Linked DNA regions of Saccharomyces cerevisiae S288C. Changing the gene in region 2 together with the main gene of any one other region gives a genetic interaction. Each region holds a gene or a part of one and is shown on either strand. Other genes may lie near its edges.

What was found.
Region 1: mutations in TIP1 (region 2) and YPS6 together harm fitness more than expected from each alone (negative genetic interaction), as found in Saccharomyces cerevisiae (one large-scale study listed by BioGRID).

The regions. Positions count from the first base shown.
Region 1 is NC_001141.2:429,582-433,632, forward strand, and holds YPS6 (aspartyl protease), read right to left. Parts: upstream 2,531-4,051; coding exon 917-2,530; downstream 1-916.
Region 2 is NC_001134.8:368,826-374,629, forward strand, and holds TIP1 (putative lipase), read right to left. Parts: upstream 3,911-5,804; coding exon 3,278-3,910; downstream 1-3,277. Other genes in the region: Pre-mRNA-splicing factor ECM2, read right to left, coding at 1-853; NRG2 (Nrg2p), read right to left, coding at 1,212-1,874; branched-chain amino acid permease BAP2, read right to left, coding at 5,036-5,804. UniProt on the Saccharomyces cerevisiae protein: Seems to have esterase activity. Prefers ester of fatty acids from 4 to 16 carbon atoms.

The DNA of each region.
Region 1 (4,051 bases), on a different chromosome or scaffold from region 2:
TACATATTGGCGGAAAAAGCACAGTCCAGCTCGCGAGATATGCAATATTCTCAAACAGACATATATTGTTGCCCTCTTTTTAACCGTCTATTGATAAAGTAATTGTGCTTCTCTCTAAATAGCGGGCACTTCCATTATATATATATTTTCCAGAAATTTTGAGTGGCGTATCTCTTACATACTACTAACACTAATCCTGGATTCTTACACCAATTTATAGCGTTATACAGTTCAATTGAGTATAATGAATCATAGACTTTATTATAAAAGTAGTTTTAACAAGAGGAATGTTAATAGTTCATATAATTGATTATTAGCAGAAAAGATTCACCTAAAAGATGTAGGGGCAGGTAATCAAACCGATGTTATCTAAAAAAAAAAGACATATAATTAACTTCGTTAAATTAGAAAATGCGGATGTTTCTTTGCGTCATAGTGTGGACTTGATAGAACAATACCTCAAGCTACCTTTGCATTGAGTATGACGTATTATGTAGGATATATGTGGCGAGTGATTAGATAGATTTTTTTAGCTGCACTTAAAAACAGTCAGGGCTGGGCGGCAAAGTGGAAGGTAAGTAAAGAAAAAATGGTAAGATAAGGAAGCCGCGATGGAGAAGATGAAACATTCACTGCTTTTTAGCACTGTGTTATTCTTCTTGTTAGCTTATTTGACAATATTCGCCATTGCGTTGGCCCTGGGGAAAAAGTGTGCACTTATAAGGTCGTTACTATCTTTATTGCAGTTAACAGTCTTCGTCATATGTATAATCATTACGCTGTAGGTTTCTTATTTTTATATGAAGCAGTGATATATAACATAATAAAGTTTCATCGCCTTTTACACAGTATATAGGGCTTCACCTATACAGTCCCACACAGTAACACACTGCGAAACTATGTATCTCTTCTCTACTTATAAAAGAAAATAAGATATGAAGGACAATAATGAAAAGGAGAAAGAAGAACGGTATTTGTAACCTGCATTTTGTTTTTTAGTGGTGCTTTCGCTAGAGCCGCCACTACTTGAGAAAGAACTAGCATCATCGCTTTGGGCTGCGGTGGCAAGCAATGATTTGTACTGTGAAAATTCCGAATACGAGGTCCAGCTGACATTAATAAAATCTCCTGTTCCGATGGGACTACCGGGCTTATATACCCATGTACTAAAGTATCCGGGAGCAGGGGTGGCACCTGGGACAGTATCGGAGATAACCTCAATATCTTCTTCTTGATTATTAAAGCTAGCCTGAGCAATAGAAATTTCGTAGTTTTCTAAATCGTAGACTACATATGCGTCGACAAGGAAAGCATCTCCCAGCATATAAGTGGACTCGGATTGCTTAACATTTAAAACGCAACGATCCTTAGCTGATGTTACGAAATTGGATATGTTTGCCGATATATTAAATCCTCCAAAGTCGACGGACAGTAAAGTATCGTTCACTTTTGAACAATCAAAGATGTAGCCTTGGTCGTCAGAGCTGTACTCTCCGTCAAAACTTTTGCCGATTGCTTCTGCAATTTCGGTGGGTAAATAGGAGAAAGTTGTGCCAGAATCCAACATCACTGGAAATTGAATATCCGAAACAGTTTTATTGCCAGATTCACTATCCAAAATTGCCACACTTTGTGCAGTAATAATCATCCCAGGATTTGAGCCAAGGGTATTGAATGCCTGCAGCATAGGCAGGGTGTAAAGCTGTCCTGTGTACTTACTTTTGTCCACTGCACCAAACAAGATGCTCCCGAAGTGTGCATCAGGTCCATTCAAAAATAAAGAATACGCTATTTTATTAATCTTTCCCTGATTTTTTAATTCCATTGGAAAGTTATCATATATGAAAGGTGTTCTGTTCAATGCCAATGCGTATTCGATACCATCTGTAAATTCTGCAATGGGAAGCGATATGCCTAAAATGCCACTTGGATTGCCTATTGTATCATTTGATACACCAAAAGTGAAATCATTTAGAGTAATATTTTCGAAAGAGACAACATCCGTACCATAAGTCCCTGCATAATACGTACCATCTCCGTATGTGTTATTGAAAAACGTCGCATTATTCTCAAAAGTAGATGAGTTGCTTGCATCGAATGTACCCCAATAAGAGCAGAGAGTGTTATAAGCTTCTGATGAGATGGTAGTCGAAGGAAGCCCATTGAACGTTGCTGTGAGCTCGTAATTATCAGTTGAAGCGTAGTCAGATCCGTCAGACATCGATTTGCAATAGGCAATGTCAGCATTATTCACAATCATATCTGAAGAGCCAGTATCTAACTGTAGGTACAACGTTTGTGGAGGCGTTCCGATTTCCATCTTGACAACATACACTCCTATTCCATTTATCACTGTGGTGTTAAGAACCTCATTTCTTTTGAAGACGGTAGAAACATCCTGTGTGCATATATTTATAATATCAGCCAACTTTTGAACAGGAAACTTAACATAGGAACTTGCGGAAGACCCTAAAACGGTCAATGAACACATCAATGATGACAACAAAGAGAGGATGGAAATCAATTGCATATTGATAGCTTTGCGTTGTCTTCAAATATCCTTATTTTCGAAAGAGACAAAATTTAACAACTGATCAACCAATGAAAAAAGAGAACAAGGAAGAACGATGAAAAACCCTATTCCAAGATCATAACACCTTATATACTCTCAACTTTGAAAGCAGTTCCAAAGCTTAAATCCTCGAAGAGTACTGCTTGCATGAGGTTTACGCAACAGGTCTAGTCAGTTTTAACTCCTCGGATATCTCGAGATATTTTGCTGTAGTGAGCGACAGGGTAGCAAATTTTTGGACCCTTAACCCCTTATACAAATTACCACCATATGTTCCTTTTCTGCAGCGAAAACCTCGGTGTTGTCAGAAACAATTTAAGAAAAGCACAGGCGAAATTGGGCTTGCACTGGGTGATCAACAATGCCAGAAATAAATGAGAAGCTTTTTACTCTTGCTTTTGCTTCTTCCTCTTTATGTTCAAGCCAGCCAAGCTATGTTATAGTGTTGAATGTCTTGAACCGTTATAGTTTCTAAAAATAACTTTACATTTTGTTATGCAATCTTCATCATCTCGAACTTTTCAACAAACGTTCAACAGTGATGGTCTTCCCCAGTGAACCAAAAGACATATGACGCTCGTATGGTATGTTAAAAACAACATAGAGGATAGTAGGTCGGGGTTTATTGTAGAAAGGACATAAATAGTTGACGTGGTAAATTTTCATCAACTAAAGCCACATCTATTTTGCCAAGTAGGAGATAATGTAATATGTAGAGGGATCGAGATTTACTGAAGCCTCACGTGAGGGCAATCTGGAATCAGATTGCACTGGTTTGCACCATACCTCTCAAAGAAGAAAACGTACTACTTTTTTAGTTGAGTATGGATAGGGTAGTGTTTCCTAAAGTTATAAGGTAAAAGGGGCAGAGGAAAAGTCGATAATAATTTGAAAGAAACTTGCTTCCATATTCACAAAGGAGCTGGATACTTCATGTCATCCGCACATATATCTACAAAAATTTCAACTTTTTGAGGTTGATACTAAGTCTTTCGCTACCAAAATGAAAGAAATCAATTTGGAGAGACTTAGGCTGAATATTTCCGCGTTCTCTCTGGGGATGAAAGATTTCTTACTGCAAAGAGTTTCAGTATTTACGGATTGGTTACAATTTTTTTTTTTTATCATAATCAATTCTTTGAATATCAACTTCTCTCAATACCATCCGCCTCTCAGCGGCTACAATTACGTAATTGCACCAAGGCCTTCGCCGAGAGTTTACATATTTGCAGACCCTAACAGTATACGACTCCCAACACACGTTTAATGTTGTACGAATTCAAGAGATAGAAATATTTCTTGCATGGAAGCCGTTTAGAGCAGACTGAATATGGGCTTAGACAATAAGCTTCTGTACGAGGGTCCAAATCTAAAATTCGGATATTCTTTTTGACCGAAAAAGGAAATGTCACAGGCACAGAAAAGGGTTTTATAAGGCACCTCGGCACCCTATAATTGGCATTCCCACATTCTGCGCAT
Region 2 (5,804 bases):
GGTCAATAAGTAAAACTCCTCTCTTTAGGCCCTTTGGTGTGACAAGTGTCTCACTTATTTTACTGACAAACCGCTCCCCCAATTCACTAGATTGAAATCTTAGGCCACCACACTTCGCCTTGTGGTTGACTATTAATGACAATGAATTTCCATCCTTCCATTTCTTTATACCCAATAATTGCGAAACTGTATCAGTTATTTTCCATTCAGGGATCGAGGCATCAATATTATACAGAAAAAATGATTTGGTGGAGGGGTTTTTTAAAAACGATTCATTCAAGGGTAGTTTCTTCAAAATATGAGAAATGTCCACGGACGCGTACTTTTCCAAGTTTTTGACCTCATTTGCACCTTTTTCATTTTTATACAATGCAGTTGTGTTTTTTATTAACGGAGTACTTGGGCCATCTGATGTTGCTCGCAGAAGTATATTTTTCAATTTATCAACGATATTATCTGCTTCTGACGGATCACTCGTAATCTGAGCTCCTCCTAATTTCACGTTTTTTAGTGACAGAAACCTTTTCATCATGTCGTTTTTTGCTTCCTCCGTCATAACGTTTTCCTCGTTCACAAGGGATATTAAATGATCCCGCAGTTGTATAGGGATGTGCCATCTTGAATCAAGCATACAGCATTGACAAATGTTTCTCTGAGTGGCGCACCGTACACATATTAATGTTTTAATGATATTATTGCTTCGTTTAGACGTCTTAAAATGGTATAAGGTGAACGGTAAGGTACAAATCTTACATTCAGAGCCTTGTGGAATTTTAGTCATTCGTATATTAGCCTCATCACCTAAGCACTGCTCACATATATTGGGCGGTGGCTCATTAATTTCATCATTCATTATATTAAGGGTGCAATAACTCTTTTCCGTTAGCTACCTTCTATTCACCTGCTCAAAAGCCCTTCCATCATCATTACCACTTCTATCAATAAAATTTGCCATAGCATTTCTTTTTTTTTTTTTTAGTCCTTATTGCCTAAACGTCATCACAGGAGAGGGTAATCCCGGAATGAATAAGGTTTGAAACTTCACGTCCCTCCGGGTTGTGACTTAAAAAAATTACGAAAGAGAACCGACTATCGTTCCTGCTATTGTTCTTGGTGAGTATTACTAACCCGCTTAGTTTTATTACTATTTATCAGTCTTTTATTTGTACGTTATTTGAATATTTAAATGTTTTTGGCTGAGCTCACTCACATCAACTGCTAGCCTCCCTCCTCTTCCAGTTTCTTTTCTTCTTGTTTGCATGAGTTCGATAATGCTGATTACAGTTATCATGTCTACTAAACCTCTGTCCACAGCCCTCATGCGGACAGATATGATTTTTTTCACCTGTATGGATTCTGTTATGTCTTGAAAGATGACCAGAAGTGGTGAACCCAGTAGAGCAGATCTTACAGAAATGACGAGTCCTCTGTCCTGCTGTATTGGTTTTCGTAGATTTCAATTTTATCACGGTTTTTGTCGGTTTGCTTATTTTAATTGAGCTATATGGATCTGATTTACCGTTACCGGTATTCTCTGCTTTTACAATATTAATATTTTGCAATGGCAGTATCGGTGACGTTTTTCCACTTGCTGTTAATCTTGAAATAGTCCCGTCACTCGTTCTGTTCGCTTGTTTTCCGGAGAAAAAATCGAAAGCGCACTTATTCAATTTATCTTTCAAGTCATCATCAATTAGATGTGATGTTTTCATCAAGGGTATCAGGGTTTGGTATTTCCTTTCATTGTTAAAAGAGAACATTTCAGGCATAAGAGTTATCTGGGAGGGCGAACATTCGAAATTGATGGGAAATTCACATTTCCTATCTTTAGCTAGAATAGTTGACATCAAGTTGTCTTTGTAACCTATGGACATCTGGAAATTTTGTAGAAGCTTTATATTTTTTGTTCTTCGAACAGTAGCGAGTGCTCATATGACTTGGTGCCGGAAATTCATTTGAGCTGTCATAATATGATAAATATTTATATGTAAAAATTTAGGCCAGATAATATATAAAAGATAAACGATTTAAAGAGGGTGTAGGATTTGCCTGTTAGCGATGTAGGAGCTACTGCACGATGTAGCATGTAATAGCCAGACGTGATTCCCCTAAACTCAGGCCCTTCTCCAAGGAGAATGCAACGGTAGGCAGTTCGTTTGAAATTGAAACTTTTCTCAACGACAATGATGTCCCGCAGCATAAGAAAACATGAGATCAGAAAAGCGTTGCAAAACGCAGAAGCCACTTATCAAGAGCTACGGCTGCGCGTTTTTCTGGGACGTGCTGACAAACGAGAAAAAAGATGGCTTTGTATTCAGTTCAAGGCCCTGTGTATTTTTTTCCTTCAAGAAATTTTTATTTTGGCCTGGGGTCTTTAAACGGACGGGTGCCCTGAGAGTACTCTCGCATAATCCAGGGATGGCTTTTTCACAGTCGTTTAACATTCGTTTATGAAGTAAAGAAAAAAAATACCAAACCCCGTTAAAAGAGAAAAAAGGTAGCCGAACATTGAAGCAGCCCATGCCAGTTTGTCCTTGGGCAGATAGTTTTCCGTCTGGCTTGAAAGGTTATAGTCTCCTTTTTTTCTTGGCTTCGGGAAAAATACGATTTGTTTGTTATTCTATATGCAGAGCCGCTGCTCTGCAGGGATTTATGATCTCGAGTGCCATTGATCTTGAAGCATCTTTTGTTGAAAGGATTTGTATGACATCATACCCGAACTTTTTTAGCACGTGAAAATGGAGAAGTCTATGGTTTTAGAGGTTGCTATTAAGGCATTTTCTAAACTTGAGGGTTGTTTGATCTTATGTTGGTTGGTTGTAAGCCAGCCGGTGTAGCCACGTGTTAAATCTTGACTTTTTTTCCCGAAGAGGGTCTGGTCCTGTCTATTTTGTTTCATGCATATTTTTTCTCAAGGAGAAAGACTCTTCGCTGCGCCTTGGCATAATAACGTCTTCGGTAGGGTCCATTTTTTTAACGTTGGCGATGCCCATATTTAGCTCGTTTGGTCGTTCCTTCGAAAGATAATCGTTCGTAAATTAAAAATAAAAGAGAGTAGTTTTCGAGCAACGAGTAGCCAGCTGGTGCCAATTGTCAAGAAAGGAAACATTTCTTACGGATTGGGAAGAAGCACTAATCTCGAAAAAGAGAACGTTTTTAGAAAGTTTTAGAAGTTGATTATATTAATGAAGAAAAAATTTTCGAACTAACAATTACATAAAGAGAAGGTATAATAATGGAGGTAATTTTTCAAATATTTGTTGTAAAAGGTTCCCTTTTATAACAATAAAGCAGCTGCACCTGCAACAACAGCACCGAAAGAGGCAGCGCCTGCATTGACTCTTTGACCGGCATTGGAAGCAGTTTCGACTGTAGAAGTGCTGACAGAAGAGGTAGTTGGAGCGACAGAAGAAGAAACGGCCTTAGAAGATGATTCGGCAGATGATGATGGGGCAGCAGAAGAAGATGGGGCAGCAGAAGAGGATGGAGCGGCAGAGGATGTAGCTTCGGAAGAAGATGCAGCCTTGGAAGAAGATGCAGCCTCGGAAGAAGATGCAGCCTCGGAAGAAGCTGGGGAAACGGAGGCAAGAGCAGCAGCGATTTCAGAACTCAATCTTGTGGTGTACCATGGCAATTTAACAATTGTCTTAGTGATAGCATCAAAGTCCAATTCACTAAACAAGGTAGTGTAAGCGTCATCGGTGTAAGTCATGACTTGTTGATACACACTCAAGACATCAGATGGAATTTGGAATCCACTGTTGCCAGTTTCTAGACCCAAGTAGTCAGAAAGATGAGAGTTGATGTCACCGATAATAGCTTGCAATTCAGCAGTTTCGGCGGCGCTGGTGTCAGCGACGGCCAAAGAGGCAATGGCACTTAAAACGAAAGCAATCTTGGAAACGGACATTTTATTTTATTTAGCAGAGGGTATAGTTATGCAATAGCAATTATTGTTACTGATTGAATGCCTTTATAATTTCGGTCCGAACAAAGTTAGGCAAGCGAGAATAATTGACGTTTGAAAGAGGGCTGCCAATGTACTATTTATATTAAATGGTGAATGAAGCAACGCAGTACCTCAAAGAGGTTGGAGACATATTCACCCTTACAGCAAACCTTTTTTTTCCTTTACTGGAAATAGCTCGAAGAATTGGAGAGAAAAAAAGATGCTTTTAGAAAATAAGACACATTTCCCGGAACAATCAATTATTTCCATCACAATCTTTGAAAGAAAGGGCCAAACCGCCGCAATAACTGCCGTAGGATTCAAAACCACAAGTACATTCTTCAACGGAAAAGAGTCGGAAAATCGGAAAAGGGACCTCCCGAAGACATTAGTCTCATAATTAAGGTTATAGTCAAGAAAAACCATAACCAGATCGTCTGATGCTCTTTTTGGGAATATTGATTACCCAATAAGGTCATTACTCCAATTTGTTGGGCTCCATTGTGTTGAGTATCGGTTGCTTGGGTTTTGAAAATCTTGCTGCCGTCCGGCTGCATGTGTGCGCCGCAAGTGCCGAGAAAGTAATTATCAATGTGGATCGCAAGCCAAGACAATAAATTTGTTGTTTCTGTGACTATTTCATGATGGCCTCCTAGTCAAAATACCAAGAAGAAGAAAGGTTTTTTTTTCTTTTTTTCCCTACCTGGCCATTCAAAGGTGAAATATCCTTTCCATTACCCAAAGAGGTAGTACTGTTTAGGCGGGGTTTGACAGGCGCTGGAAGGGATAGGCAAGAATAGGAACGGTTTCCAAAGCCATAGAAATTCCTCCTTCACGTTCTGTTGAAGGGAGGATAAAGCAAAATTTGAAACAATAACGACATTGTGCGGGTATGTATGCTACGGATGATTAATGAATGTATGTAAAAAAAATATAAAATTACAGAAACGAATAAGGTCATTAAGGGAGGGGAGGGCACAAGCAAATGTGCTTGTGAAGTCATACCTACTCAGCGCTAAGGACATGCCGTGATATCATCAACCGGCTCTAATGGGAAGTGTCCAGACCTGAGTGGTGTAGTTAAGTTTAACACCAGAAATGATAAGCTTTTCTCATCAAAGACATATTCCTTAGTTTTTCTTTATTTTCTTCGTCCTCTTGTCTCATTAGCTCTGGATCATAAATGCGTCTGTGGAAGTCAAGGTCAATCTTGTCGAGGGGATTTAATAGCGTAAAATCACGGTTGTAAACCATATATCCGAAGTAAAAGGCCAACCATATTGGAAAAGCTAAATAATTTTGAAAGAAGGATTCCGCATCGCATTTGCCCCCATTACCTAAGGGGGCCAATGCTACCCAAAATTGGGCAACAAAGACTAAAATATTAAAAAAGACACCGTATATGGAACCCCAAATCCCTGTTGTGGCCTTGTATCCCAACTCGTCTAGAGACCTTCCCTGTACTTTCATTGCTTGTCTGAATCGCAGATGGGACAACATTATGGAAGTCCATGTGAATAATTCACTCAAGCCTGCGATAGCTGCTAACCATGTAAACACGATCTCTTCCTTTGATGAAGCTGCAACAAAAGCAATGACGCCGAAAACGCAACACACAATAAGAGCTCTCAAGGGCCTGCCCTCTCTGTCAACGTAATCTAAAAACTTGGGTGCGTAGCCTTGTTGGGCCAAAGAGCAAATCAGTCTTGGACCAGCATACAAAGAGGAATTTGCCACTGAAACCACAGAAATCAAAATAACAGCGTTGATAATATGTGGAACAATTTTCACACCGTGAATAGAAGCGGCTAAGACATAGGGAGATGCATGTGTAGCGGATCCGCCTGCGCCCATT